Linked DNA regions of Elephas maximus indicus. The protein of the gene in region 1 purifies or fractionates together with the protein of each later gene. This does not show direct contact. Links are inferred from orthologs where the notes say so. Each region holds a gene or a part of one and is shown on either strand. Other genes may lie near its edges. The genes, in order: LGALS3BP, SPRYD3, CAD and FBXO45.

Evidence for each region.
Region 2: the proteins of LGALS3BP (region 1) and SPRYD3 purify together in Homo sapiens (co-immunoprecipitation; 3 studies listed by BioGRID and IntAct, counting the BioPlex papers as one, with this or other methods). This does not show direct contact. The link is inferred for Elephas maximus indicus from reciprocal best matches to the Homo sapiens genes LGALS3BP and SPRYD3.
Region 3: the proteins of LGALS3BP (region 1) and CAD purify together in Homo sapiens (co-immunoprecipitation; 3 studies listed by BioGRID and IntAct, with this or other methods). This does not show direct contact. The link is inferred for Elephas maximus indicus from reciprocal best matches to the Homo sapiens genes LGALS3BP and CAD.
Region 4: the proteins of LGALS3BP (region 1) and FBXO45 purify together in Homo sapiens (co-immunoprecipitation; 3 studies listed by BioGRID and IntAct, counting the BioPlex papers as one, with this or other methods). This does not show direct contact. The link is inferred for Elephas maximus indicus from reciprocal best matches to the Homo sapiens genes LGALS3BP and FBXO45.

Annotation. Positions count from the first base shown.
Region 1 is NC_064837.1:68,869,357-68,876,746, reverse strand, and holds the start of LGALS3BP (galectin-3-binding protein), read left to right. Parts: upstream 1-4,374; 5' UTR 4,375-4,501; intron 4,502-6,387; 5' UTR 6,388-6,409; coding exon 6,410-6,461; intron 6,462-7,150; coding exon 7,151-7,342; intron 7,343-7,390.
Region 2 is NC_064822.1:108,601,290-108,608,877, reverse strand, and holds the start of SPRYD3 (SPRY domain-containing protein 3), read left to right. Parts: upstream 1-4,584; 5' UTR 4,585-4,665; coding exon 4,666-4,688; intron 4,689-6,383; coding exon 6,384-6,530; intron 6,531-7,550; coding exon 7,551-7,588.
Region 3 is NC_064830.1:45,716,300-45,723,449, forward strand, and holds the start of CAD (CAD protein), read left to right. Parts: upstream 1-4,133; 5' UTR 4,134-4,284; coding exon 4,285-4,366; intron 4,367-4,607; coding exon 4,608-4,747; intron 4,748-6,650; coding exon 6,651-6,780; intron 6,781-7,150. Other genes in the region: ATRAID (all-trans retinoic acid-induced differentiation factor), read left to right, coding at 457-578, 2,440-2,511, 2,706-2,777, 2,881-3,002, 3,280-3,377, 3,586-3,690. UniProt on the Homo sapiens protein: Multifunctional protein that encodes the first 3 enzymatic activities of the de novo pyrimidine pathway: carbamoylphosphate synthetase (CPSase; EC 6.3.5.5), aspartate transcarbamylase (ATCase; EC 2.1.3.2) and dihydroorotase (DHOase; EC 3.5.2.3).
Region 4 is NC_064819.1:18,113,786-18,121,188, forward strand, and holds the start of FBXO45 (F-box/SPRY domain-containing protein 1), read left to right. Parts: upstream 1-4,395; 5' UTR 4,396-4,653; coding exon 4,654-4,965; intron 4,966-7,403. UniProt on the Homo sapiens protein: Component of E3 ubiquitin ligase complex consisting of FBXO45, MYCBP2 and SKP1. Functions in substrate recognition but also plays an important role in assembly of the complex.

The DNA.
Region 1 (7,390 bases):
CTACTCTGTCCTACTCAGTTGCTATGAGTTGGAATCAACTCAATGGCAATGGGTAAAGAACTTATGCAACTCAATAATAAGGTACGCAACCCAATTCAAAAAAAATGTGTACAGGATTTATAGACACTTCACCAAAGAAGATACAATGTCCATGATACTTTCTGCGAAATAGGACATTATGTGATTTGGACGTTCAGCGAACACCATGTTATGGATGAAGGTCCTTTCGGGCATTCGCTTCCAGAATAAGGAGGTTTTATCCATATTAAAAATTTGCTGGGGCAGATAACCTCCCTCGGCAATTAGTTTATCCAAGGTTTCAACAAATTCTTCTGCCTCCTTCGCAGCAGCACCCACAGGCTTACCAACCATTTTCACATTATGCAGCAAAAAACTTCGAGGCACTTGAATCACCCAGAGGGAGCACTAAACCCACTATCGTAGTCTGGTCTTGGTTTTTCTTTAAGCATCTTGAACAAGCTTCGTGCCTTAGCAGTGACGGTCAATGTGCTGAGAGGGATTCCCTTTTGTGTTTAGGGACCGAGGTGTACCTGACCCAAGCCATGATATTTTCTACCACCTCATAGACACGCGAAAGCTGGACAATGAATAAGGAAGACTGAAGAACTGATGCATTTGAATTGTGGTGTTGGCGAACAATATTGATTATACCATGGGCTACTGGAAGAACCAACAAATCTGTCTTGGAAGAACTACAGCCAGAATGCTCATTAGAAGTGAGGATGGCGAGACTTCACCCAGCTTACTTTGGACATGTTATTGAAACAGGCTGCTCAGCCAGATCTTGAACAGTACCTGAGCCTATTTTTTTTCTCCTTCTTTCTTCTTTCTCTCCTTTCCCTCCCCTAGCGCATCCCTGCCTCCAAGTAAGATCCTGCTGTTAGCTCACCAAATGGTTAACCAATGTTTCCTCTAAGACTGTGGAAAGCAAGTGATATTGATCTAAGCCTGTCAAATAAGAAGGATGGCGTCAGCCACCGCCCCCCCGCCCAGCTGATGGGATAATGGCAGGAAAAGATCAACAGATTTGAGATAGGATCACTGAAACCAAACAGAAGAAAGAGAGTGCATATTCCACAAGTCCCTAAAACTTATGACCCCTTTCCCCTTAAAAACCCGAGCTGATCGGTAGTCTGGTGAGACAGATGACTTTAGGAGGAGATCATTCCCCCCGTCTCCATATACCGGTATATCTAATAAACCTCTTGCTACCCACCTCACCCGTCTCAAGAATTGGCTATTTGCCACAGGCGGCTCTAACTTGTGAAATTGCGGTAACGTTATCAGAAGGCACCAATCCCTAGAGAAATATATCATACTTGGTAGGTGGTCAACAAAAAAGAGGAAGACCCTCCACAGATGGATTCACACAGTAGCTGCCACAATGGGCTCAAAAACAGCAAAGATTGTGAGGATGGCACAGGACTGGGCAGCGTTTCCTTCTGTCGTACACAGAGTCACTATGACTTAGAATAGACTCCACCTGCATTGACTGCTAATGACATGGGTTGGTCCCCAATCCAGGTCACTAGCAATTTCTCCGTATCTGATGTGGGTCCGTCTCGTGTTTTCATTAGCCTGGTGTAGCTTTCAGTGGGTCCGATCCTTTAACAGCTTAGAGAATTTTTTCTTCTTGAGGATTGCTGTGACTGTGAGTGAAACATGCCTAAATCCGGTACGTCCTGTTCTCCAATACAGATTTCTAAACTCTGTTATAACCTATGGGACCACAGATGTTTATGGGGTCAGATGTTGCCCAAATGGACGTTATGTGGCACATGACTGTCTATGAGCGACAAATAAGCATTTGAAAAGACGCTTAACATCATTAGTCATTAAAACCACAGACAGACTCCTCTAGATAGCCACTAGAGTGGCGAAAATGAAAAGGACCGGAAGTACTGAGTGTTGGTGAGGGTTTGGAGTCACTGGAACGCTCCCGCTGCTGGTGGGAATGGCGGATGCTGCCATTGGAAAACAGTCTGGCCGTTTCTTCAAAAGTTAAATATACATTTACCATATTGTTACCCAAAGCAGGTGCTGCTCGGTGCGACTTCTCAATAAAGACACGCCGAGGTGAGGAGCAAGGAAGAGCGTCTATTGCAAGCATGCAAGCAAGGACCGAGGAGGTTATCCTGAAATCAAGCTCGCTGAGCGAAGACAGGCAGAACATTTTATACAGACTCTTGCAAGGAAGTACATGCAAACGTTATGGACAGCATAGGTTATCATGGCACCCAGGCACAATTAGACAAATTGCATTTTTTTCCTCTGTCATGTAGGCTAGTAAACTGGCTTTGACTGGCTTGAGCCGCACCCAGTGCTTGGAGTACAGTGGACAGGAGGGACGGGTTTCAGCTGAGCCACACCCAGCATCTGGCTATCTTGACATGATCCAGTAACCTGACTCTTAGGTATTTACAGGAAAGATATAAAACATGTTCACACAAAGGCTTGCATCCAATTGTTCATAACAACTTTGTTCATGATAGTAAAAAAATAGAAAAGACCCAAATATCCATCAATGAACAAATGCCTAAACAAACTGCGATCTACCCACGTGACGGACTACTACTTCGCAAAAAAAATGAACACATTACTGATATTCACAGCACCACGGAGGAATCTCAAAAGCATTCTGCTACAAAAGATTACATCCTGTATGGTTCCATTTATATGAAATTCTGGAGCCCTGGTGGCACAACGATTAAGCGCTTGGCTGCTAACTGTGACATCGGTGTTTGGAACCCACCCAGGGGCTCCGCGGGAGAAAAGACCTGGGAATATTCTCCCATCAAAATTACAGTTTAGGAAACCCTGGAGTGCAGTTCTGCTTTGTCACATGGGGTCGTAATGAGTCGGAATCAACAACGAGGACGACATAGTGGCAGTAAGCAGAGCAGTGGTCGCCAGGGGCGGGGGCTGGCGAAGGGGATTGACCGCAAAGGATTTTAGAAGAGAACTTTTGAGGACAATGGAAATGTTCTTTATCACAGTGGTGATCATGGTCGTCAACTGTAGGCTTTGTCAAAGCTGAATGGATGTACACTTAAACTCCATGCATTTTATTGTTACGTAAATTATGTCTCAATAAAGAAAAAATGTGTGTTTGAATCCCAGCACTTCTTCACCTTCCAGCTGTGTAACCTGGGGCAGAGTATGTAACCTCTCTGTGCCTCCACTTCCTTATCTATTGCAGGGATAAGAAGAGCAGCTGCTTCCCAGACTGGCTGGAAGGATTAAGTGAACTCATCCCGGTCAAAGGTTTGCAGTGGAGCCTGGCTCAATAGATACTGGAGTCCCTGGGTTCTGCAAGGAAACCCCGATGGTGCAGTGGTTAAGAGCTATGGCTGCTAACCAAAAGGTCGGCAGTACAAATGCACCAGGTGCTCCTTGGAAACCGTATGGGGGCAGTTCTACTCTGTCCCATAGGGTCCCTGTGAGTCGGAATCGACTTGATGGCAACGGGTTTTGGTTTTGGGTTGTGCAAACAGTTAACGCATTCAGCTGTTAACTGAAAGATTAGGGGTTCGAGTTCCCCCACACCCGGCCATCTGCTCCCAAAACATCAGCCACTGATGGAGCACAGGTCTACTCTGACGCACATGTGGTCGCCATGAGGAGGAGTTGACTCCTTGTCAACTGGTTACCGGTCAAATATTAGCTATTATAGTCAGCACTCCCGCGTTCGGTGAGACGGAGCAGAAGCAAAAAAAAAAAAAGTGTCTCCAACAGCACCCAGCCTTTCTCCAGCAGCGCCTTGGGAATGGCTTCCCTGCCAGATTAGCCTCCAATGGTACCACCTTTGGGCCCTGCTTTCTTGAGGCCTCAACAGTCTTCTTATCAGAACCGAGCCAGCCCTCTCCCTCCCCGTCTCCCTGAAGCTATCATCTCACACCGCCCCTCCCCTCCCCCTCCTTAAGCACTTCCTTTTGGGGGTCTCAGGAGGTTGGAAAACCTTTGAGAGCCCAGGGGAGCCGATATTGGTGCTGGTTCTGGGATACGGCCTTGGGACTTTAAATTCCGCCTGCCTGGACCCCGCTCTGTCTGTCCCTAAAGTCTCCCCCAGCCCCCCCACCACATCTGCTGCTGCCCCCTCCTTCCCTCCCCCAGCACAGTGCCTGGCACATTGGTCCAGCTTGGAAGGTTGTCTAAATTCCGAAATAGTCATCCCTGTCTGGCTCTGGGAGTTGCTGCAGGTTACCAATTCAGCCAGAATCCATCCTTGGACTGCTGCCATTCCCAGCACCCACACTGGAGCTGAGAAAAGGAAGGGGCCCCAGGGACTCTGCGTGGCAGCCAACCCCTGGAGAAACACAGGTCATGTGATTCCTAGAAATTGAAACTGAACAGTTTCCTGAAGCATTTCCTGACCACGCTCCACACAGGAGGGTTTTTGAGCCCGAGGACAGGCCCACAGCAGGCTCCTGCAGCGGGAAGGCACAAGGCTCCAGGACAGCCACAGGAGTTACCTGGGCAGGTAAGCACCTGTCTCTCCTTGCTCCCAGGTGGGCACCCTTCTCTCTACACAGTGGGGGCCAAGCATACTGTGTACACAGACCCGGGGCTAGGGGCAGGGTGCTGCTCCCAGAAGATCCGCAGGGCCACCCCATACAGTTGGGCAGACTGTTCACTGCACGAGGCACCAGCCAAGGGGGCAGTGGCAGGGTAGCCTCTCACAGTCTGCGTGCTACCCTGACCCACCCGCCCGCAGGAAGCGCACCTTTGCCTGGTTTGCAGGCAGGTGACTTCCCACCACGCATTCACCTAGGGCTTGATTGGCCATTTCCTCATGGCCCTGAGCTCCTGTCCAGGCTATCCTAGGAGCAGGGCGGGTGACCAGTTGTTCTGGTGTGCCCAGTCACCTGGCCCTTCAGCCGTCTTCTGAGAAGACTGCAGTGAATCGAGGTTTGCCTTACTCATTAGCCTGTTTCAGTGGCTTTGCTTAGAAGCTTGTTAGCTATAAGACGTTTCTTGGTCACGGTCAGGATTCTGTGAGCTTGTGCTTTGAGCAGGGCTGGCACAGGTCACCCCTCAAAGCTTCCTGTGCCCCCTGGGGGTCTTATAAATGCAGGCATCCATGCCACATGTTGCCTCCAAGGTCACCAGGCCCTGATCTTGTCTCCGTGCTCAGCAGTGCCACAGTGGCCTGGTCCTTGGCCTGGTCCTGGGCTTGCTGGACAGCAGAGAGCAGTGCTAGGGGGCATCCATGATTCTTGCTGGGCCAGAGGGACGGTGACCTGTCCGGCCCGTTCACATGCACAGGATGTGGGGTGGGGAAGCAGGTTAGGATGTAGCCGGGGGCGACAGGCTGCTGCCAATGATGGAACGATCAAGAGTGGAGAAGAACGTGGAGACCAAAAGCCTGGTCCTCCCCAACCTTGCCCCCGCTGGCTGAGTGGCCTGGTGGTTCCACATCCCCAAGCCTTGGCTTCATGAGACAGTAGGCCAGCTGACCTCAGGGGGTCAGCAGCACCATGTCCATGCCGAGCCTGCTCACCATACTCCCCAAACCAGGGGTGGGTTAGCCAGCAAGCGCAGTAGGCGCTGGTTTGCAGTAAGCGAGGCGTGCACGGGCTTAATTGTGCTCACAGACTAATCTATAGTGAACAATTTCACATGAGTTTCACCAAATCTTTGGCATGGTATAAACCAGGTGAAGCTGTTCACTACAGATTAGTCAGTAAGCACAATTAAGCCTGTGCGTGCCTTGCGATCCCCGCCCCTGCCCTGTGCCCCTGTCCTGGCTCCTAATTCGGCCCCCTCCCCCCCCACACTGCGACCCCTCCTCTCCATCACCCCCACCCAACACCACCAGCCCACACTCCTCGCTGCCAGTGTTTCAAGCCTGGACTTCTGGGGTGCCTCCCGACAGGCCCCCTGCTCTGCACGCTGCAGCCAGGGAACCTTTGTCCCCTCAGTCACTGTGGGCATGCCTGCGAGGGTCAGTCACCTTTGTACACAGCCCTGGTTTCTAATGAGACTCACCGGGCCCTCACCATCTGGGCCCTGCAGAGCCGCACCCCCTCCTCAGCCCTCCTCATCCAACACCACATGGCAGCCACACACAGGCCCAGCATTGGGAGATACCCGCTGCCTGGACCCTCCAGCCCCCCCTCTTCACCTGGCTGAGTCTTACTCAGCCTGAAGACCAGCCCTCAGTTGGGGTGAGGGCTCTGCTGGGTCCCCACCTTCCCTGCGTCTCTCATGCTCACTGCCTGCAGAGGGCCCTGGAGGAGCAGGACCCGCAGGCCTCTTGGCTCCTTCCTAGCCTGGCACCTGGGCCTCAGCAGGTCAGGGCTGCAGGGGGCATGGCCCTGCTCTGAGGACCGCCCCCCCCCACCACCGTGTCTTCCTCTGCCATAGGATCGAGGCTCCAGGTACTGCCATGGCACTCCCTGAGCTCCTCTGGATATGGCTGCTCGTCGCAGGGACCCACGGTGAGCTGAACCCCTGGGAAGACGGGAGAAAACATCAGTTAAGCAGCTCTTCCTCCATCTGAGGCTACACTCCCGCCCTTCAGAAAATGCCAGCAAAGATTCTGCTGGTGGCCTGGGTCTCCCCTCCTGCTCAAAACCCCAGTTGTCCCTGGTGATGGGGGCTTGTGGGTTCTGGGCAGGAGGCCTGGGCTCCCCATACTCTCCCAGCACCCCTGCGGCACCCTTCTTGTGGGCCATCATGCTGGTGTGGGGCCTCCAGGAAGAGGAAGGGGCTCCCAGTCTCCCTGTGTGACTGTCTCCAGGCCCAACTACAGACACCACAGAGAGGATCAGCCTGGGCACCCTTCCCTGCCCCTCTTCCTGCCACCTGGCCACCTCTTCTCCAAGTGCTGGGCACAAAGGGGGGACCCCAAACACAAGGCTAGCTTACCTCTGTGTTGGGGGGTCTGTGAGTATCTCCTGCTCCTCCCCAGTGGGTGACCTCCCCCGAGGACGGGCAGGGGACTTCAAAGTGGCAAAACCAGACCCCCAGCTCACTGGTCAGCAGTTCAGCCCTAGGTGGACAGAGCTGCCACCATGAAAGCACACGGCCCGAGAGCAGTGGGCAGCAGATGGGCCTAGGGTGGGGCCAGGTGCCCTCCCATCATCCTGTCTGATCTTTGCTCCCCTCTGCCCCCACGAGCCTGCAGGCCTGGAGGACGGCACCATGAGGCTGGTGAACGGGGACTCGGCTAATGAGGGCCGCGTGGAGGTCTTCTACAGAGGCCAGTGGGGGACCGTGTGTGATGACGGCTGGGACCTGGACGATGCCCACGTGGTCTGCCGCGCCCTGGGCTTCGAGAATGCCACCCAGGTTCTGAGCAATGCTGCATTCGGGCAAGGTAGGGCCTCTGCTTCCGGGTCCTCCAGAGCCAAGGCCGCAGCCCACC
Region 2 (7,588 bases), on another chromosome or scaffold:
AGAGAGGGATTTATACCAAGGAAATGGCTCATGCAATTGTAGAGGCTAGAATGTCCCAAGTCTATGGGTCAGGATAGAGGATTCTCCTGATTCACATAGCTGCAGGGGCTGGCAAACCCAAGATCGGCTGGTCAAACAGCAGGGCTCTTGATCACAGGCTATGAAGATCCAAGAATCCCAAGATCAGCAGGCAAGACAGCAGGTAAGCTGCTAGTTCAAGTCCTAAGAACTGGAGGTCAGATGAGCAAGCAAGAGCCAGCTGTAGGATCCAGAGCAAGCAAAAGCCCACAAGTCTTGCCAGAAAGTCTATTATATATTCAATGCAGGCCACATCCCCAAGGAAATTCCATTTCAACTGATTGGCTACTTATAGCAGATCCCATCATGGAGGTAATCAGATTATATGAAATCTCATCATGGAAGTGATCACATCATCATATGACTGCCAAACTACATCATAACTGCCAAACCACTGAGAATCATGGCCCAGACACATAAGCTTAATGATCACAGAACTCATGTACTATTATTGCAAGTCAAAAATTATTTAAAAATAAAAGCTAAAAAGAAAAAAAAGGAATCACAGACCTAAATGTAAAACCATAAAACTTCTAGAAGAGAACACAGCAGAAAATCTTTGAGATCACAGGTGAGGCAAAGATTTCTTAAATACATTACCAAATAATGATACAATATCAAAAATCAACAAATCAAACATCTTCACGATTAAGAACTTTCTTTGAAAGACACTTAAGAAAATGCAAAGACAAGCCACAGACTGGAAGAAAACATTTGTAAATCACATATCTGATAAAGGACTTGAATCTAGAAAACATAAAGAAGTCTCAAAATTCAATATTAAGAAACAACCCAATTCTAAATGGGCAAACAATTTGGACAGACACTGTCTTGGATTATGTCCCCCCAAAAATGTGTGTATCAACTTGGTTAGGTCATGATTCCCAGTACTCTGTGGTTGTCCTCCATTTTGTGACTGTAATTTTATGTTAAAGAGGATTAGGGTGGGATTGTAACACCACCTTTACCCAGGTCACATCCCTGATCCAATGTAAAGAGAGTTTCCCTGGGGTGTGGCCTGCACCACCTTTTATCTCTCAAGAGATAATAAGGAGAAAGAAGCAAGCAGAGTTTGTGACTTCATACCACCAAGAAAACAGCACCGGGAGCACAGCGCATCCTTTGGACCTGAGGTTCCTGTGCTGAGATGCTCCCAGACCAAGGGAAGACTGATGACAAGGACCTAACTCCAGAGCAGACAGAAAGGGAGAAAAAGCCTTCCTCTGGAGCCTGTGCCCTGAATTCGGACTTCTAGCCTACTGGACTGTGAGAGCATAAACTTGTCTTTGTTAAAGCCATTCACTTGTGGTATTTCTGTTACAGCAGCACTAGATGACTAAGACAGACACTTCACCAAAGAAGATAGATGGATGGCAAACGAGCATGTGAAAAGATGCTCAACATCATTAGTCACCAGGGAAGGACAAATTAAAACCTCAATGAAACACCACTACATGACTATTAAAAATGGCTAAAATTAAAAAGAGTGACCATACCAAGTGTTGGTTAGGATGTAAAACAACTGCAACTTTCATACACTGCTGATGGGAATGCAAAATGATATACCACTTCAGATACACCACTTCAGAGAACAGTGTCTTAGGCTGGATTCTCTAGGGAATCAAAACCAGTGAAGCATATATGTATGTGTATATGTATATATGCATATATACATATACACATATATATATTGGCATCCTGGTGGCACAGTGGTTAAGAGCATGGTTGCCAACCAAAATGTTGGCAGTTTGAATCCACTAGCTGCTCCTTGGAAACCCTATGGGGCAATTCTACTCTGTCCTATAGTGTTGCTAGGAGTCGGAACGGACTCAACGGCACATAACAACAACATAGAGAGAGAGAAAAAGAGATTTTTCTCAAGAAAATGGCTGACATAGTTGCAGAAGCTGGCAAGTCCCAAGTCTGTGGATCAGGTATCAGGCTGGAGGCTTCTGACTCACATAGCTGCAGGGGCTGACAAACCCAAGATCAGCAGTTCAGGTGGCAGGCTGCTGGCTCACAGGCTGTAAATCTCAAGATCAGTAGGCATTACAGCAGGCCACTGGCTCAAGTCCCAAGAACCAGAGATCAGATGATAATAAACTGGTTACAGGATCCAAAGCAAGGAAAAGCTGGCGAGCCTTGCCGGAATGTCCATATATATTGGATGCAGGCCACACCCCTGCGGAAACTCCCCCTACAACTGATTGGCTGATCACATCAGAGCACATCCTAGAGGTGATTACATTATATCACAGAATGGAGGATAACTACATCATTACATAACTCCCAGATGCATCATTACATAACTGCCAAGGTACATCATTACACAACTGCCAAACTGCATTATTACATAATTGCTAAATGAAAATCATGGCCCAGCCAAATTGATACTCGATCTTAACTCTTACAGGCATAAGGCGTAACCAAAGTAGGCGTATATTTACCATGTGACCCAGCCATTTCACTCCTAGGTACGTACCCAAGAGAAAATGAAATATATGTCTATGCAAAGACTTGTACATTAATATTCATAGCCAAAAATTGGAAACAGCCAACTGTCCATTGACAGGTGAATAGATGAACTGTGGTATATTCAAACAGTGGCATACTATTGTTTCAATGAACTATTGAAACAAACAACAACATGGATGAATTTCAAAATAATTATGCAAGTAACAGAAGCCAGAAGACTCCCCCCACCAAAAAACACTAAGTACATACTACTTGAGTCCATTTATATAAGATCATAGAAAATACAAACTGCACTAGAGGGAGAAAGCAAATTAGTGGTTTCCTGAGGGTGGGAGGGTACGAGGAAAATGAGGAAACTTTTGGGAGCGATGGTATATTCACTATCTTGATTGTGGAGACGTTTTCATGGGTGCGTACATAACATTAAATTTTATACCTTAAATATGTACAGTCTATTTTATGTCAATTATATTTCAACAAAGCTGTTTAATCAAATACATGTAGATGCTAAGTACAAATTACAGTTACGGTCCTGAGAATGCCAATGGATCAAGGGTTCACCAGAAGGCCTGCCCTAATACACCTGGAACTTGAGGATGAGGAAATCTCAAGTGGAATCACCAGCTATCAATAACACTTTGGTGTCTCTCTCTGTCTCAGCTGGTAGCCAGCTCACTAGCTTCTGGAAGGACTCAGAAGATCCGTTGTAGAATGGACATAACTCTGGGAGCCACCCTGGTCAGTTCCTCTCCGGCTGCGATTGGGAGGAGCCAGGTTGAGGCTCAGTGTATTTTCATAGCTCAGGAAGAAGAGGTGGAAGAGAGAAACAATAAAGGAATGGAACCAGAAGAAGCTGGAGATGAGTTGAAAAGGGTAACTATTCAGAACTATGTAATCGAAGGGCTGGAAAGGAGTCAAAAGAACACATACTTCAATAATTCTTTATAGATGAGAACACCAAGACCGTGAACTTTCTGTCACACAGAATTGGGGCTCTAATCCAGGTTTCCCTATTTCCTCTACACTCACTTCCATTAGGCCAAGCAGTTCATGTACAGGAGATGATGGCTTCCCTTTCATTCAACGTTTTTACAGTACTAGGTATAGAACAGGCCCCGGAGTCTGAAGGAGTTCATAGCCCAGCAGAGAAACAGGTCTACATACACAGGTGACTTTAGTAATAAAAGACTGTAATAAGTGCTATAAATGAAGTGCATATGACATGGTATGGGACTACAGAGGAAGGGATATTCTTTCTACCCAGAAAAGAGATTCAGTGATCAGGAAAATCAGGGACCTCCTCATTCCAGGAGTCCAAACTCCCCAGAATGGCAATAAATACACTTTAGTAGGTGCTCAATAAATGCTAGCATCCTTCCTCCTGCAGCCTGACTCAGTCTAGCTTTCCTTTAGCCTCACCTAAACCCCTGTTCCTGAACGCGGTACTTCATGCCACTGTGCTTTTGCTTGAGATGTTCCCTCCTCTTGGAATACAATGTCCTTCCCGGAGTGAACTGTTGACCTGTGACATGAAATGGACTTCAGAGAGCTAGGAAGAATATAAAACATATGGTAATATCTAAAGGCACAGGCTGTGGAAACTTAATTCCTCTGAGCCTCAGGCTCCTCATCTTAAAAACGAGATAATAATAAAGTTTATTTCATAAGGTTTCTGAGTGGATTAAAAGGACACTCCTATGGCTTTTAGCATCACGCCTGGCACGGAATGAGCACTTAAGAAACATTCGCAATATTTTTACGTGCGTAGCGACCTTCTCCACCTGCCCCGCCCAGTGCAGGAGCCGCCCCTTGGCCGCCCCCTTGGCCCCAGGGCACCCAGCGCAGCATCCACACTGCCACGTCGCCACCTACTACCCTCTCTACACCCGGCTTTACTAGACCCTACCCGGCGAAGTACCCGGGTTCACCGGGCCGCGCCCCAGACCTGCCTGGGTGCTCCGATTGGTTTCTTCAGATGCTTGTCGTCATAGGCCGCTTACGATTGGCGCGGGTGGGAGGGGGCGGGTCTCGGAAGCTCAGGAAGGGCGGGAACCCGGATGTGTGTGGTGGCGGCGGCCGAAGAGCTAGTGTGCGGAGCTGAGAGGCCTATGGATGAGGAGGACGCGGAGGCCCCGGTAGGCGGGGATCGGGGGGGCGGGGTCCCGGCGGCCTCGGGTCTCCCAGGAGCCCCAAGCAGGAGGAGGGGGTCCTGGGCGGGGGCTCCGGGGGCAGGGGCGGGGTGTTGCGATCTGGTTTCTGGGCTTCCTCCCTCCGGCACTCCCGGCCCCATGCAGGGCCTGGGGAGACTGGGCGTAGTCACATTGACGAATCGGAGCCCCGTGGCCCCCGAGTCTTGTGTGAATGACCAAGCTGTTTCGGGGTGGAGGCAGGGCCCAGTGCGGCCGTCACTCGCTGGTGCCAAGACTGTGGGGTTCTGGGCAACCATATGCTTCTAGGTCTGGGGCGCCAGCGTCTACCAGAGGTCAAGCCCTGGCCGAGCGCCCTGGAGGGGAGTCCTGGGGCTGCCTCACTGGTGCCCGCCCTTCAGGGCTACGTGGTGGGTGTGGGTTGTAGCTGCAACAGAAGGATGGTAACGTCCACACTGGGATTCAGTTCAGCTCACCCGATGCTTACCAAGCACCTTCTGTGTGGATGGCACTGTCAAACCTTGATGGGACCCTCGCTCCAGGAGTTTTGGGATGGGAAGAAAAAAATTACCTCATCTTTCTCTAACTTTTGACTCCCGGAGAAGATTTATTCATTCACTCACGTGTTGGCACTGCTGGTTGTTTAATACCCCATTTAAATACCACTTCTCTCTGTCTTCATTGCCGACATCTTAGTGGATGCCATCCCTCCTCTGAGCTGCCGCAAGGACCTCCTAATTGCTCACCCACTTCTGCTCTTGTTCCCCTTATGGTCAGCTCTCCAAGCACTGGCATGAATGAGCTTTTTAAAAACATGAACAAGATTATATTATGTCATCACTCAAAACCCTCCGAAGGTTTTCCCATCACACTTGGAGTAAAATCCAAACTCCTTATGGATCTGTAGGGCAATGATATGCCCCCAGTCTTCCTCTTAGACCTCTTGTCCCATATTCCCTGTGCACCAGCGACTCTGGACTTCTGTTTTTCTAACATGCCCTCCCACCCCAACATCAGTGCTCTGGCTGTCTCTCTGCCTGGAATACTCTTGCTCAGGCTTGTTACATGCCTGGTTCTTTTTTATCTCAACTCCAGTGTCACCTCTCAAAGAGGCTTTCTGTCTCTACGCTATCCAAAGTAGCTCCCTGTTATTCTCGATCACATCACCTTGGTTTTTTCTCCACTGTTTAAAATTGTCATGTCTGTTTACTGTCTGTCATACTTCCCTCCTCACTCCCTACCCCCTAGAACGGAAGCCCTGAGAGTACAGGATTCCATCCATCTTGTTCGGAGCTGTAGCCTCAGTACCTACACGGATTGCTGTTGAGTCGATTCTGATTCATAGTGACCCTGTAGGACAGAGTAGAGCTGCCCCACAGGGTTTCCAAGGCTGTAGTCTTTACAGAAGCAGACTGCCACATCATTCTCCCGAGGTGTGGCTGGTGAGTTCGAACCCCTGCAGCCAAGCACTTAAGCACTGTGCTGCCAGTACCTAGAGCAGTGCATAGAGTAAGAACTTAGTAAATGTTTGTTGAATGAAAGGATGAGGGTGGGGATTGTTGAGGTGCTCAGTCTGTGGAACTGGCTCCAAGCCCAGTGCTCTCCCCACATTCTGGGTTGAGCAGGCTGAGGTGCTTAGCTCAGAGCCCTGCTTCCTCCTCAATCCGCTTACCCCTCTGGCAGGTTTGTTCTCATGAACAAGATGGATGACCTCAACCTGCACTACCGGTTTCTGAATTGGCGCCGCCGGATCCGGGAGATTCGGGAGGTCCGGGCTTTCCGGTATCAGGAGAGGTTCAAGCACATCCTTGTAGATGGAGACACTTTGAGGTGAGTTTAGGGGAATGTGTCCACGTTTTTCTTTCTGTGCCACATCTGAGAGATGCTAAGGCTCTTTCAGAGGGAGGGGACTGTCTACACTACACTGGGAGAGAGAATGCTGTTGACTCCAGAGGCCTTTCTGAGTGGAGCAGCGTGTTCTGCTTTACCCTGAACTTTCCTCTACCTGGGTCCACCTCTGTCCTGGTTTGGCAAAGGTCTGTCATTGTGCAGTGGAAGCTATCCTGTCAGAATTAGGAGGCTGTTGGGGTCTGAGGTAGGAGTTCCCCCAAGTGCCTTGTTGAGTGGACTCCATGGGTCTGTGAGGTGTTTCAGTCTCCTTTTGCCTATGTCTTGGGTTAGATTTGGTGAAGAGTGGCCATTGTGAAGGCAGTGGGTTTCCTGTTTTGGGATGGACAGTGCTGTGATGCATTCTACCCACTGCCTGCCATGTTTCCCAGCCCTTTCGTTTGTGTTTGTTTCATCTCTCTTTCTGGCTCAAACCTCTCCCCTGATGCTTTCTGAGCCTTAGTTCTCCCACAAAATTGCCACTGAGAGGGGAAGAAAGTAGTGTTACTTAGCCTGGAGACAAGAAAGCTGAGGAGTGGGGAGTGAATAACTGTCTTCCAATCTATGAAGGGCTTTGGTACAGAGGATAGAGACCAGCCGTTCTCCAGCTCCACTGAGGACAGAGCCAGAGGAAAAGGGCCGAAGCTGCAGCGTGAGGGATTGAGGTTAGACAGGGTTGTGAGACCCCTAATAGGTACCTAAGGGAAGCTCTGCGTACTTTTCCCTCTGGAAATGAAGGAGAAACCAGGCTTGCATTGATTTGGTGTGGGCTGGACTCTGGCTGGAGGCAGCGGGAGGGGTGGGGTGACCTCTGAAGCATCTTGTTATGGTGTCTGCTGAACCGAGGCCTTCTGGATTCTCCTCTGTGCTGCTTCTCACAGGGTGGGGCTTGGGGATGCTGAGGCCCTCCCCCTAGGTCCTGGGCTAGGCTGCTAATGAAACTCCTCCCTATTCCTCCTGCAGTTACCATGGAAACTCAGGTGAAGTTGGCTGCTATGTGG
Region 3 (7,150 bases), on another chromosome or scaffold:
TTGAAGAGCTTGAAGCTTGTCTTTTAACAGAGCAGTCTTGTGGCTCTTCTGTAAGCTGTGCGCGCACGAATGCAGTATTTCGTGCGTGGGCAGGACTTTACTTTCCGGAATGTTCGATGAGTTCATTGTGTACCTTCTTGTTCTTATACACCCGGTCAAACCGGAGCTGTCAGATTGAGAAGTCACTGGAGAGGGCATAATAAATATGGTCGAATACTGTTTTTCAAAGATGAAAGTATTTTCTTGGAGAGGGCTGGTAATGGAAGTGTTTGATGCGCTGCTTTGCCTCTAGGGAAAGAAAGATATCCCCTATCCAACCGGATAAAAGGTAGGACAAGAGCCACTTCCCCGCCCTTTGTTAGAGAAAAGGAGAGGTATATTGGCAGTTAACTCTGGATCGCCGTTCTGTTCTTGACTTTTCTTTCTGGGGTCCTAATAGGTTTCTCTCTTCTACAGATATGCATCCAGTGCCCAGGGAGTGTGCAAAATTTGTCCGAAGTGGCTCTGTTTTGTAAGCAGACCCCGAAGCTAATGTTGTATGCCCGCTGCTGCTTCAATCAGAAGGGCGCCATCTTGGGGTGAGGGAGAACACATCCTTGGATAGGGGAGGGCGGGGGAGTTTTCAGAACAGAGTCCACAAGGCTTGTTTGATAGACTTGGCATAACTATTCGTGCCTATATTGGCGGCACCTTTTAAACCATGATTCATTCTCATACTTTTAAATCTGTGTATCATTTTTGGCTAGGAAACAATCCTATAGTTTTTTCTGGTTAAAGCTGCATAAAAATCATAATTTTTACCTGTTTTTTAAAATTTTTTGATAAGCTGTTATGCTTCCGGTTTTGTTTTATTTATTATCAAGTCTTTGTATTATTCACTGAGTGTCTCCAGTTATTCTCCAAGACATTATGCTAATACAGTTTTCTTCCCCTTGTGATTAATTCGTGTTTGAGGCAAATTCCCCTCACTGTCCCTTATACTAGTTAGTCCCTCAGATTCACTCCTTGACCCTCCGCCCTTCTCCGTGTACACTCTGGAGAATCCACCTATTCTTATGGCTTCAGCTATAACCACCTCGTAGGTGTCTCCCAAAACTAGTTCTCTCAGTGTCCTTAACACCTCTCAGAGCTCCAGGTACGTATGGGTACTTCCAACTTATTATTAAACATTTCATCTGGAATGCTTCACCTTCACTTCGAACTTCCCCAAAACCAAATTTTTCCATTACCATTCTCTTGGTTTTAAGACCATATTTATAACTATTTTCTCAGGATAAAGTTCAAACCATGCATTAGACATTTGATACCTACCACAGACTGGTCACAATCCACCTTTCCTACATTATTTCCAATTATTTGTCCAGTCAAACCCCCAGTGAGGGTCTGGCTTCAGCCAGATTCACTTACAAAGGCATTCTACTTTTGTTTCTTTGTTGTTTTGGAGAGCCTCTCTCTTTACCTGGAATTACCTTCTTTCACCAAATTAGGACATAGCCATCCTTCAGTTTTAGCATTTTTTGTGAATGTTTCCCACTACTAAATCCCAGAGTAATAGTTTCTTTGACTTCCTCTAATACTTAGTGTCTGTACCACTCAAATTTATTTACACGCTGTACTGTTATTTCTTTCATATTGTAATTTAACGTTTATATTGTTTTTGGTGATTTTCTTGTTCCCCTACTAAATTGTAAGCTACTTGAAGGCTAAGATACTGAGTTAGACTTTATATGTGTGTGTATAAATATATATACTTTCCCAATGTTTTGCAATTAGTAGGCATACAGTACATATTTGTAGAATAAAGGAACGAAAAGTGATAGATATTGAAGACAAAATAATTGCAGCATGGGTCCGTAACGTCCAGGAGCTTATATCCAGCCTGTGATAGATAATGTACTTTGAGGAAATTTTCATTTATGTGACTTGCATCTTTTTTTTTTTTTTTATTCGAAAGCCCTTTTTGGATCTGAGACTCGTAATGCCATAATATGAGATCCACTAATCTAGACAAGGAATAAATTTCTTCTAATATGTGTACAGATGTGAATCCAATATGTGTACAGATGTGAACTGACAGGACATAGTACTTATTAGAACAGCATTGACCATTAGAACTTTCTGCAAAGATGGAAATGTTCCATATCTGTCTGCCCAATACAGTAGCCACTGACCACATGAGGTGTAGCCAGTGCCAGTGAGAGACTGAATTTTTAATTTAATTTTAATTAATTTAAATTTACATAGCTACATGTAGGTAGTGATGATTGTATTGGACAATGCAGGATTACAACATCTACCACAGCACCGAGTATGTGGCTCTCACACAGGCTGTTTTCAATTTATACTGATAACCTAAAAGGGAGTTGGGTATCAAATACAAACCTTGTCATGAATGAAGAAGAAGGACATACAGTTACATTGATTACTTTGTTTCCTCAGGCTGGATCTCCAAAACTGTTCTCTGAAGGACCCTGGTCCAAACTTCCCTCAGGCACATACTGCTATCATCATGTAAGTGGTTAGGTCCCCTCCCTCCCAGAAAATGACTATGGCAAAGGGTTGATGAGACAGTCTTTGGGGATGGACTCCTAAAAAGATGGATGAGTATTAATGTCTAAGTTTACTCTGGATTACCAGTCTAGGAAGATGTGTGAATGGAGATGGGTGCTGTCCTGAGCAGAATGCTAACAGTGTGTGCTTTGCAGAGACCTGCAAGCAAACCCCCTCAAGGATGACTTGGTTAACACCTTCCATGGCTTTACTCAGCTCCAGACTCTGTAAGTACAGGGTGTGGGGATTAGGGGAGAGAATAAGAGGAGTAGTGCTGTGAGCTCAGCGACTTTGGGTTGAATATATTATGACAACCTGTGTTGTCTTCAGGATACTGCCACAAAATGTCAGCTGTCCTGGAGGTATTAGTGCCTGGAATACTATCACCACTCACACAGACAAGCAAACCTGCCAAGGGCAAAGGAACCTTTGCAACAGCACTGGAAGCCCAGGTATGCTGTCTCATCTCTGCCCTTCTGGCAACTGCCTTTCCTCTCTTACTCATTTTAGATCAGAAAGACTAAAATTGCTTAGGTGCCTTTTGTTCAGAGTTCTGAGGCTCTAATTGGGAAAAAAAGTTTTAGAATATATTGTCATTATGTTCTGATTATCTATAGTGATGTTTACCACTGATCTACAAAGGATTGAGAGAACCTGAATTGAAGCAGATATTTAAGAAATTTATCTGATGAGATCCAGTGATGTTCTCTGTTTTTCTCTGGCTGCCAGAAATGTGTCCTGAGAATGGATCTTGTGCTCCTAATGGTCCAGGTCTCTTGCAGTGTCTTTGCGCTGATGGTTTCCATGGCTACAAGTGTATGCGCCAGGTGAGGAATGAGGCCTTAGAGAAAAAAGCATAGAGCAGAAACCTGTCTCAAAGAAGAGCCACAAGACCGGAAGCTAATGCACGTCACCCAGGGGAGCAAAGTTAGAATTGTCCTGAATGAGGGAACAAGTGTACTAACAGGGAACTAGGTGTTAGGCTGTAGCCTTCAGTGTAATGCTCAATGAGAGTTGTTGGACTGTTACTTACAGGGCTCGTTCTCACTAATTGTGTTCTTCGGGATTCTGGGATCCACCACGGTATCCATCTGCATTCTGCTGTGGGGGACCCAACGCCGAAAAGCCAAGTCTTCATGAACCACATGGGTCCCCCTAGTGACCTAGTTAAGGCGTCATCCAGGCCGAGGACGAGGTTGGAAGGAAGATGGAAAATTGCCCTATTCTCAAGTGTTGTGGACACCTTCTCCAGGGGTAGAGTACCAGTTCCCGTTTGTGTTGTTGACTATAATAAACACTTTTTTCCTTGTCATTGTCATGTGGTTTTTTGTTTGTTTGTTTTTAGGAAAAGTTGCCCTGCCTCAGTGTGTTTCTTGGTTGGGATGTAAGAGGCCGCTTTGGGGTAGTCAGTGTTTTCGGGTTTCCCTAGCCTTTGCAGGGGAGGAGGAGACCGCGGTCTCGCGGCGCAGAGCCACCGCGGCGCCGCTCCGGCCCCGCCCCGTGCGTGCCCGGCCCCGCCCCTCACGCCGCCGGCTCCCTGCGCCGCCGCAGACGCCCGGCCGCCGGCGCGCTAGGCTGCTGCGCGGACCACGCCCGCCTGTGCTCCGGCACCGGCGCGGTTAGCCACGTGGACCGATTCCCGGCGCGTCGTCTTCACGTGGTTCCAGCGCCGGCTGGGGCTTGCGGCGCTCCACCGCTTGTCCGTGCTCGGCCCTGCCTCTAAGCGCCGTTCCCATGGCGGCCCTGGTGTTGGAGGACGGGTCGGTCCTGCGGGGCCAGCCCTTTGGGGCCTCTGTTTCGACTGCCGGGGAAGTGGGTAAGCAAGCTTGGGCAGGCTGCCGACCTCATCCCACTCCGATCTCCGCACTGCCTTCCCTGCCCAGACCCCGCCATTTTCCCGCCTGCACACCCTCCCCGCGTTCTGCCGCCAGGTCCCCAGCCCTGCCCTTACCACCCGTCACGCCCATGGCAGCGTACCCTGACGGGGGCATCTCTTCGCCCGGGGCGGAGTTCTGGAGGGTACCCTGCGGAGCCCTCTCCCTGTCCCTTTTTTGCAGTGTTTCAGACCGGCATGGTGGGCTACCCCGAGGCCCTCACTGATCCTTCCTACAAAGCACAGATCTTAGTCCTGACATATCCTCTGATCGGCAACTATGGCATCCCCCCAGATGAAGTGGATGAGTTCGGTCTCAGCAAGGTAGCCATGCCCAATGCTTTCTCTACATTCTTTTTCAAATCAATAATTATTAGTGAAGTGAAGACATTGACACTCTGCCAGGCAACCTGGAGAGAACAAATATAAACACTGAAGTGATAAGTACTGAGGTGACTGTAGTTAAACTTGGGTTGGTAGATACTTTGAGAAGCTCAGCATGGTGGGAGCCTAGGAGGAGAGAGCTATCCCCTCTTTGTTAGGGGCACCAAGGCTATAGGCAAAGTCCAGAATATTGTGTATGTAGTGGAGACATAGGTCTCACAACAAACAACAGTGAAGACATGAATCAAGGAAAGTGGCAAAAAGTGTAGAAGAATAATGCAGAAGTAACGCAAAGATGGGTTAGATACAATAGGAATGAAGTCAAACCAACGTCTAATCTTGATCTGATAAGGACCCTTCGGAGCTTGTTTAACAAGAGTCACATGATGGGAGCAATGCTTCAGGATTGCATAGATTAGTGGAAGGGGGCTGGAAACCAAGATCACATCTTTTTCCAGAGACATTGGGTCCCAGTTCACCTACAGAACCAGTGAAAGTTGGTTACAATCTTCTAAACATACTTTCCTTACCTCATTTTCTACTTCTTTTCTGTAGTGTTCTTACCTCTAGGTAAGAAAGTTCAGTTTCCTCTTGAAGTTCAGTGAGGTTGCCACTATTCTTTCTCCTTTGGAATTGGAAACCAAGATGCCCTCTGAGTTAAAGTAGTAAAAAAACTAGCAATTGGGATAATAGTGGAAGTCAACATAGCAGTATTCCTTAAAACCCATTTTGTCCATGATTCCAGGCTTACTGAGCAACCGACCATTAGATTCTAGATTTGCCTTCCAGGTTACCCTGACGCTGGAAAGACTGGATAACGAACACTGTTATTCCTGGAAAGGCCCATTTGTTATCACAAACCTATAAATACATTGCACTCTTAACTTTTAATTCAATATTTTGTGAATTTGGTTAACATACATCAGCCTTCAGCTCTATCAGCTCTAGGCACACTGACAGAATTGAGTTTACAGACCTCTAAAATTGTGGCCCTGGCTAGACCAGAGAGATTGAGACCTTCCGCAACCACCAACCCAACGCCAATGCCCTTGTAGCACATGTGTTGTAAATGTACTTGCCCATGCCAGGTGGACTTCGCTTGTCAGGGAGGGCTGTTTTTACTCATCTGCCAAACTCTATCCTTCAGATTCCTAAAGAACAGTCTCGACATCCATCTTCCCTTAAACCTTTTACCATTTAGCAGAATGGAATTTAAATATGCCACTACTTCCCAAATAAACTACTGGTTTCTCCATTTAGTTACTAAATGCTTGTTGATCAGTTAACAAATTCGTATTCTCTTCTTTTTTTAATTAGTCCTTTTGGAGTGGAGAGGTATAATCACTTACAGTATTGTAACTTGAGCCTTCGCTTTTATTTAGTAATGTATCGAGCACCTACCTATCTTAGCACCTTGTTTGTATAACCTGTGTAATTATTGTTAGTTTACATGTCGACTTGTTAATTTTCTGCTCGTACGAAGGAAATAAACATCATGAAGACTGGACCCTATCTTTTCTTGCTCACTGCTCTATCAGCATCTGTTACAATGCCTGGCACCTAGTGAAGACTCAAAATGTTTGTTGACTGATGCTATGTGTCAGGCACCTTGCTCTTGAGTTCACGGTTCTGTGACAAAGACACACTCCATGTGTTAATGTTTAATGTGGGGGATGGTATTGTTGGTAAAGGGAGCTGTGAAGTGCTGGGTGGTGGTGAAGATGATACAGTGTAACTGAAATAGAGGGCCCATGGCCACGTAATGGGAGAAGATGGGTAAAAGTGACAGAGGGAGATATTTGGCCTTGAGCTGCTCCTCACAGTCTCCTCCTTCCATCTACAGTGGTTTGAATCCTCAGAGATCCACGTGGCAGGACTGGTGGTAGGAGAGTGCTGCCCCACGCCCAGCCACTGGAGTGCCACCTGCACTCTGCATGAGTGGCTGCAGGAACATGGCATACCTGGCCTGCAAGGTATGATGGCAAGCACACGTGTGTCTCGGCGGAGCACAGTATGCCTGGATGGAAAGGATCAAGATAAGGTTTCCTAGACTCCAGTCCAAGCTTGTGATAGAATATGCCCGATCTAAAATTTTTTTTTTAGAAGGGTTAGATTGCTTTCTGGGGCCAGAGAAGCTATCACTTAGGTGGAAGATTTCAAACATAAAAGGAGAGAATAGTATAATAATCAAGTCTTGGTTAATCTTATTTCATCATCACCATTACCACTCCCTGATTATTTTGAAGCAAATTTCAGACTTTGTATCATTTCATCCACCAATAGTTCATCTATCTCTGAAAGACAAGGAGTCTTCTTTTTAAAAACATGACCACAATAAGATCA
Region 4 (7,403 bases), on another chromosome or scaffold:
TCTAACAGCTTCACTTGACAACTGCTTTGTTAGTATTCTTTGATGAGGCAGCCCTGGTGGTGCAGTGGTTAAGTGCTCAGCTGCTAACCAAAAGGATGGCGATTTGAACACACCAGCTGTTCCGAGGGAGGAAGATTTGGCAATCTGCTTTCATTCTGTGAAGACCACAGCCTCAGAAACTCTATGGGGCAGTTCTACTCTGTCCTATAGTGTTGCTATGAGTTGGAATACACGGAATTGACCAAAAGCTACTGATCATTCATAACTGCTTTTAAATGTACTCATATATTTTCAATCCCATTATAATTTACCTGCACTTACACAACGGTAGTACTTACGTGCAAAATTTATATTCCTGATCCTAGGCATCCCAGATCCATAAACTAAGAATTGCCACATAGTACGACTCTGCCTTAACTGCCTGTTAGGCAAGGCAAAAAAGAAATCAGGGCAATTTATCCACTTCTAATGGTCAGATGAAAGGAAGCAAACCAGCCTATCTGGACGAATTTGATTTTTCATTTCACAAGCCAAGGGAGGAGTTGCTAGTGAAGAGCTGCCATAGTTACTTCACTATTTTCAGACATGATATTTGACTTTAGTCCAGTCGTACAGAGATAAATTTCCTAACGTTGTTTTAAAAATTCGTTTAAAACGATTTGGCAATCTGCCTGAAGTTTCCATTCCCAAGACAAAGTTGCCCGTTGCCTCCCATTTGCAGTCATACCAAAAAAATTTCTATCATTATACTCCAAAAACTCACTCAGGTGTTAGTAATCAAGGTAACAGAAACATGGTCACAAAATCAGATAAAGCCATTCTCATAATGACAACAAAATGGAAAGACAAAAATATACTTTTATTTCAGCAGAAATATTCAATTAGCACACAGAGGAAACTAATTCAGTAGAGGCTGATGTAAGTAAGACTTAAAGGAAAGGCTTGAAGAGGAAATGACTCAGAGAGAGGTAAAGACAGGGAACCCTAGTGGTTTGATTTTTGCTGACAAGTACTGAAAGCGTAGATAATTTTCTGCCCTAGCACAGGCTCTTGCCCACTGCTCCAGATACACCAAGAAAAAAGGATGCTTAAATAACAGGTACAGATATTACTATAGAGGCTTAGGGACTATCATCTGTGGTAACCACTGATTTACCCTATGATAAAGACAATAACTTTATCTTGAAATATGAAATCTGAATGTAACTATTAAAAAAGCCATTTACATCACAAATAATTTTGTTTAACCCTTAGGGTGTTGATCACTTCTTTCCTTAAGTTGCAGTTCTAATTTTGCTACGATGAATCAAGTTTAAAGTCTAAAGGCATGTACTCTACAGCTTTAAGATTTGCTGAGTTTTACGTGCACACAGGTTTTGGATCCTAAGTTGGGATTTTAGCTTTTCTGAGGCCAAGAATGAGTTAGGGTTTCTAGTACTTCTATTTCTCCATCATACATCAACCCACAGGGATCCAAGTAAATCTAAGTAAATGTTGACTGGCAAACAGTTTTAGCAGATTTTCTTCCTCATATAAATCTTTTCTGGAAAGTTTTAACTCAATTTTAAAGGTAAATCGATTTTGTACTTAAAGGAACTATTATAAGCAACAATGCAGTTCCTATAAATTTTTCCATAATGGAACCTGTAGTAACTCTCGGTCTGTTAATCTCACAAAATCCAAGGACAGTTGTACCTTAAACTTTATGTACCAGCATAAAAAACAAATTAAACCTCTAATCTCTAAATCACATGGGTAATATTTACTGATCACCTAGCTGGTCAGAAAAAATAGAGACCTATTATCGGAGATGCTAAGAAAAAGAGCTGGGAAAGCCCCAGAAATCTACCCACCCTGTGAGGCTGTTCAGTTAACTGACATTCACCGTGCAGTGTACTGATCGATGATTAAACCAGAGCCTCCAAAATCATGTATTTACTTAATCTACAAGATTATTATTTGCAACACACCCAAAGACCACCATCAAAAAAGTGTTAAAGACTGCTGTGCGGAGTGGAAAAAATGTAATTCAATCTGGGTTAAATCAAAACAACCTTTCAAAAACAAGGTGTCAAGCTATTTTTCCTGTTTTTCTGTTACTGGGACTGGAAAGTCTACCAGAAATAGGTAAGTGTTACCATCCCCACATATCAAGCCAACAAGCATCTCTTCTCATATGTAACCCATAACCATAACCCACTGCCATTGAGTTGATTCCAACTCATAGCAAACCTAAAGGACTGAGTATAACTGCCCCATAACTTCCAAGGAGTGTCTGGTGGATCTGAACTGCTGACCTTTTGGTTAGCAGCTGTAGCTCTTAACCAATAAGGCACCAGGGTTTCCCTTCTCATATGTAGATACCTTAAAGGAAGGTCAAGCACAGGAATTAATTCTATTGAGCTTCTTTAATTAGATCATAGATCCCTCCCTTCCAACACCTAATGAGACCACAGAGTGGGTGGTGAAAAGGTGGGGTAATTTGGGAGCATTTTTAGAAAGGGTGGGGTGCTGCTATAGCTAGCAGTTCTTTCCAGCCAGAGGGCAGACTGAGGGTAGTGAACACGGGGTAGAGGTAGCATTGGGGAAGGGTGATGACTGAGTAAAAGATATGTAAAGAAACAAGGGGGTAGGGATAAAGGCAATCTTTTCCTACTCTGAAATTCTACGTTTGCCACTTGGGGAGTAATCTGCCACCGAAAGTCACCTTAATGACTGAACTAGATTACCTCATCAGGTCCTTCAAAAGCTCTACAACACCTGTACTGTGACAGACAGAATAAAGGCCAACATCTTTAATAACTGAATGATCTCTAACTACTTTGCTCCAGTCATATCTCCATGTACCCACTTGTCCTTTTAAAGGGTCTCTGTCTTTAAAGATGTTCATTCTGCCTGGTCCTTTGCCCCCATCTCAGATGGACCAACTCTACTTATCCTTGAAGATTAAAAAAAAAAAAAAAAATTGCTGTCTTTCCAGACAAAACCAGGTCCTCCTTCCTTAAGTGTCCCATGGTGAATGAATAATAACTGAAACCTCCTGAGGTTATAATTCATTGAATTCATTGAATACATTCAATTAACATAATCTGAGAGTCAGCATTACTATAATCAGTATAGTTCAAGTTTTCCCCAGGTTTGGGTTTTCAAAATTGGTCTTGTGGAGAAGCTGGATTGCAACCAAAATGATGGAGGGGCTGTGACATTGGTATTGGTAAGAATGGATAGAATCTGGGTTACTGAGCTTGTAGAAAGAAAAAGACACCTGGGAGGAAGGAGCCAGCGATAGTTAAACACTATATATCACAGAACAGAAAGGCAGTTGTTCTTGTTTTTGCTAGAGAACATGGATTACACACAACAGGAGTTTCAGGAAAAATTCTTACTACGTAACAGTTGCAAGATACTGGAGTTGACTATTAAGGCAATCTGTGAACCCTATTATTATAATAATTACTTAACCTCATACAGCTGTTTCAAGAATTATATAAAAATCCCCGAAAAGGACCTAGTGTAGTGTTTGGCTCACACTGTGGCACAAATGATGGTTATTACCTCTCTACTGTTTTTTAAAGACTATGAGAAAAACTTCTTGGGCCACCTAGGAAGATGTAGTATGACCAAATAATGCTGAAATTCCTTCCCTTCCATGAAGCCATCTATAATTATAGCCTCCACATCTCTCTCCCTTTTGGAATACTTAATTCAACAAAAACATTGCCTTAATATGCCTACGAAGCGGTGGATCTGGGAATGACTGCATTTTGGCCAAAAGAATGTCATAACTAGCGCTTAAACAGCACTTTATGGTTTTCAAAACGTTGGGGGTTGGGCGGTTTAGAGACGTGGCCACCTTATTCTCCAAATATACGATGGGATACAAATTCTGATAAGTACAGACACTTAGAGAGACAAGAGAGCCTGACCAGGAAAAGACGGCCTCAGCTACCGAAGGCAAAGAATGAGGCTCCAACTGAAGACGAAATTGGAAGACCCAGGACTTGCTCAGCAAGAAAAGGAGAGAAAAGTTCCTAGCGTTAGGTTGGGGTTCGAAGCAGGAACCTGACACAGGGAAACCTCACAGGAAAAGGGGCCAACGACAGCCGATGCGAGGCCGCTAGGACAAAAAGAGGAAAAGGCACTGGAGTGCACCCAGGAACCCACCGCCGCCAGCCTCATACCTGCTCTTCCCGCTTGCCTCCTCGGCGCCTCGTGATGACCTCACCCGCGGGCGCCCAATCCGAACAAGCGTAGGGCACGAGGCGCCTCAGCCAAACAGTCACATCCGGGGCCAAAAGGAACCGCGAGAGAGCTGGGCGTGCGCCCTTGCTTCGTGCCCTCAACCGGCATGGCGGAGCTGCGGGCGCGCCGCGGGGAGGCCACGCGAGTCGGGCGGTTCCGGCGCCCGCCCTGAGCCTCGGGAGCGGGGGAGGGGCGGGGACGCCCGTGCAGCCGGCGCGTCTGCCCTCAGTGAGGCGGGGCGCGCGGCGGGCGCCCCCGGGCAGGGGCGGGAGTGGTGGAGGTGCTGGGCGGTAGGCTGTGAAAGGGGCGGTGAGCAAGCTGCTCCGGTCTCAAGGCGAGGCTTGGCCTCCAGAGCAGAGACGGGGGAACGCGGCGGCGGCGGCAGCGGCCTTCGGGCCGGCTGGTGAGGCGATGGCGGCGCCGACCCCGGGAGCTGGAGGAGCCTCGGGCGGCGCTGGCTGTAGCGGCGCGGGCGCCGGCGCGGGCTCGGGATCCGGGTCTGCGGGGGCCGGGGGCCGGCTGCCCAGCCGGGTGTTGGAGTTGGTGTTTTCCTACCTGGAGCTGTCCGAACTGCGGAGCTGCGCTCTGGTGTGCAAGCACTGGTACCGCTGCCTGCACGGCGATGAAAACAGCGAGGTGTGGCGGAGCCTGTGCGCCCGCAGCCTGGCCGAAGAGGCTCTGCGCACGGACATCCTCTGCAACCTGCCCAGCTACAAGGCCAAGGTGAGGGAGCCCCGGGCCACGCCGCTGCCCTCCGTCCCGCTCCTCCGCGCCGCTCTCAGTGCTTCGCATCTGAGCGTCTGACTCAGACGCTCGCCTCCCCATCCCGCCTTTCCTTGGCTCCAGTCAAGACCTTACCTCACCTCTCTCCTCCACTCCCCTCCACAAAGATCTCTTCTCTTTGGATTGCTGTGCACAGTATTAAGTTCTGCTCCTTAACCCTCCCCACTTCCGTGATCCAGTCTAAGGACCAGATGGTTTCCCATCCCTGGCTTCCATTACTCATGTTACTTTCGACAGTCCCAGTAATAAAGACCGACCACTCCCATTGTTGTACCTTTTAATACTGTCATCCCGTTTTTCTTCCTGCCCGACAGATAAACAGATAGACGCTATTAAATCATTTCAGTTGCCTTATTTTCTCTCTTAATATCGGCTTAGTCTCTCAGATCATTGCTTTCAGCTCACTATTATTTATAACAATTTTTTCTTTATTTCCGCCCGTTTTCGTTAATTCTCTCCACTATGTTTCAGGCTTACAAATGAGTTCCTAGGCGACCTGCTAACTTTCAAGATATAGGCATTTATAGAACATCGTCCCATCAGTGCCACTTACTGTCATAATAGTTGCCTTTTCCCAGTATTATTGGCTGCCTCCTTGCCAACTTTTTCATAGTCTCCACCTTGATGGTATGTCTCTTCTGTTCCATTTGTCATCAAACGTGGTGTTTCCAGTTTTGCTTCTTTTTTTTTTCCCCCTCTTAGATTCTTGTGCATGTTCCTGCCTCTCTTCATATACAAAATAAAAATGTCAAGTAACAGGTTGTGGTAGGGGGTGAGAAAATTCTCCAGGCCATATAAACAAAGGACTCCAGGCTTGGGTTCAGTTGGACCCATAACAGCTCTCCAGTATAGTATTCACCAAGAGCATTTCTGAAAGGGGATAAAGCCTGTGACTTTGAATATGGTAAACATACAGAATACATTAATAACTGAAAAGAGAAGTTGCTTTTCAGTGCCAGTGGGGGTCAGAGTAAGAAGTAAAAAAAACCTTCATGAGAAATAGATGTAAAATTCACTTTTTCGTAATAAAAACAGATTTTAGTTTAATACAATAACGAACATTGCTGTTAAATGTTAACTCGAGCTGTATTTATATTAAACGAAATAACATGTTAATTTCTTAGGACGATACTTGTGCATGGTACATGCTCAGTGTTTGCTAGTTGTAATTTTTATGGCGGCGTGCAGAAGACTACAGTTTCGCCCTACTTTGCCTGATAAACGTGGGTTTCATGGATTTTATTTACTTTCTGTTTTTCCGTTGCATCTACTGGTTTTAAGAAATTTGAAAAAAATTTATCATAGATAATATGTTCACATGATTCAGGATGTAAAATGATATACAGGAAAATGCCTTCCTTTCACCCTTGTCCCTCAGCTGCCCAGTTCCCCTCCTTAGAGGCAACCTGTGTTACCAATTTTATGTATATCCTTCCAGCATAGTTTAGGTTTCTGAAGTTTGTTGTTTTTTGGTTTCTGAAGTTTCTAATACTTGCCACATTGTTGTTGTTAGGTGCCATTGTGTTGATTTTGACTCATAGTGATCCCATGTGACAGAGTAGAACTGCCCCCATAGGGTTTTCTAGGCTCTAATTTTTACGGGAGCAGATCACGAGATCTTTCTCCCGAGGATCCAGTGGGTGGGTTTGAACAGCCAGCCTTTGAGTTAGCAGCTGAGCACTTAACTGTTGCACCACCAGGGCTCCTGTAGGCATTGTAGACTTATACTCATGACATGTTCATTCAGCTGTTGCAGGGCATTTTGCTTGACTATCTTGAGGATACAAAGATTAAATCAAAATGAGTCACATAGTCAAATAGGTTGAGCCTTTCGTCTAGTAGAGGAGGAAAAAATGTATAGAAATTGCTCCTTACTGTTAAAATCAGTTGCCGTTGATTCAGTTTTGACTCATAACGACTTCACGTATTACAGAGTAGAGCTGTGCTCCATAGGGTTTTCAAGGCTGTGACCTTTTAGGGACAGATTGCCAGGCCTTTCTGCCAGGGTGCCTCTGCGTGGAAACTTTTGGTTAGCAGTCAAGCACTTAACCGTTTGTAGCACCTAGAGACTCCTTCCTTACTGTTAATCCAAACTAAACTGACCCTATCAGACAGAGTAGAACTGTCCACTAGGGTTTGCAAGGCTGTGATCTCTATGGAAGCAGACTGCCACATCTTTCTCCCACAGAGTGGCTGGTCCATATGTACTGCTGACCTTTTTGGTTAGTAGCTGAGTGCTCAACTGCTGCACCACCAGGGCGCGTTCCTTACTGTTAAAAAAAAAAAAAACAGTTGCCGTTGAGTTGATTCCAGCTCATAGCAACCCTACAGGGCAGAGTAGAACTGCACAATAGGGTTTCCAAGGAGTGGCTGGTAGA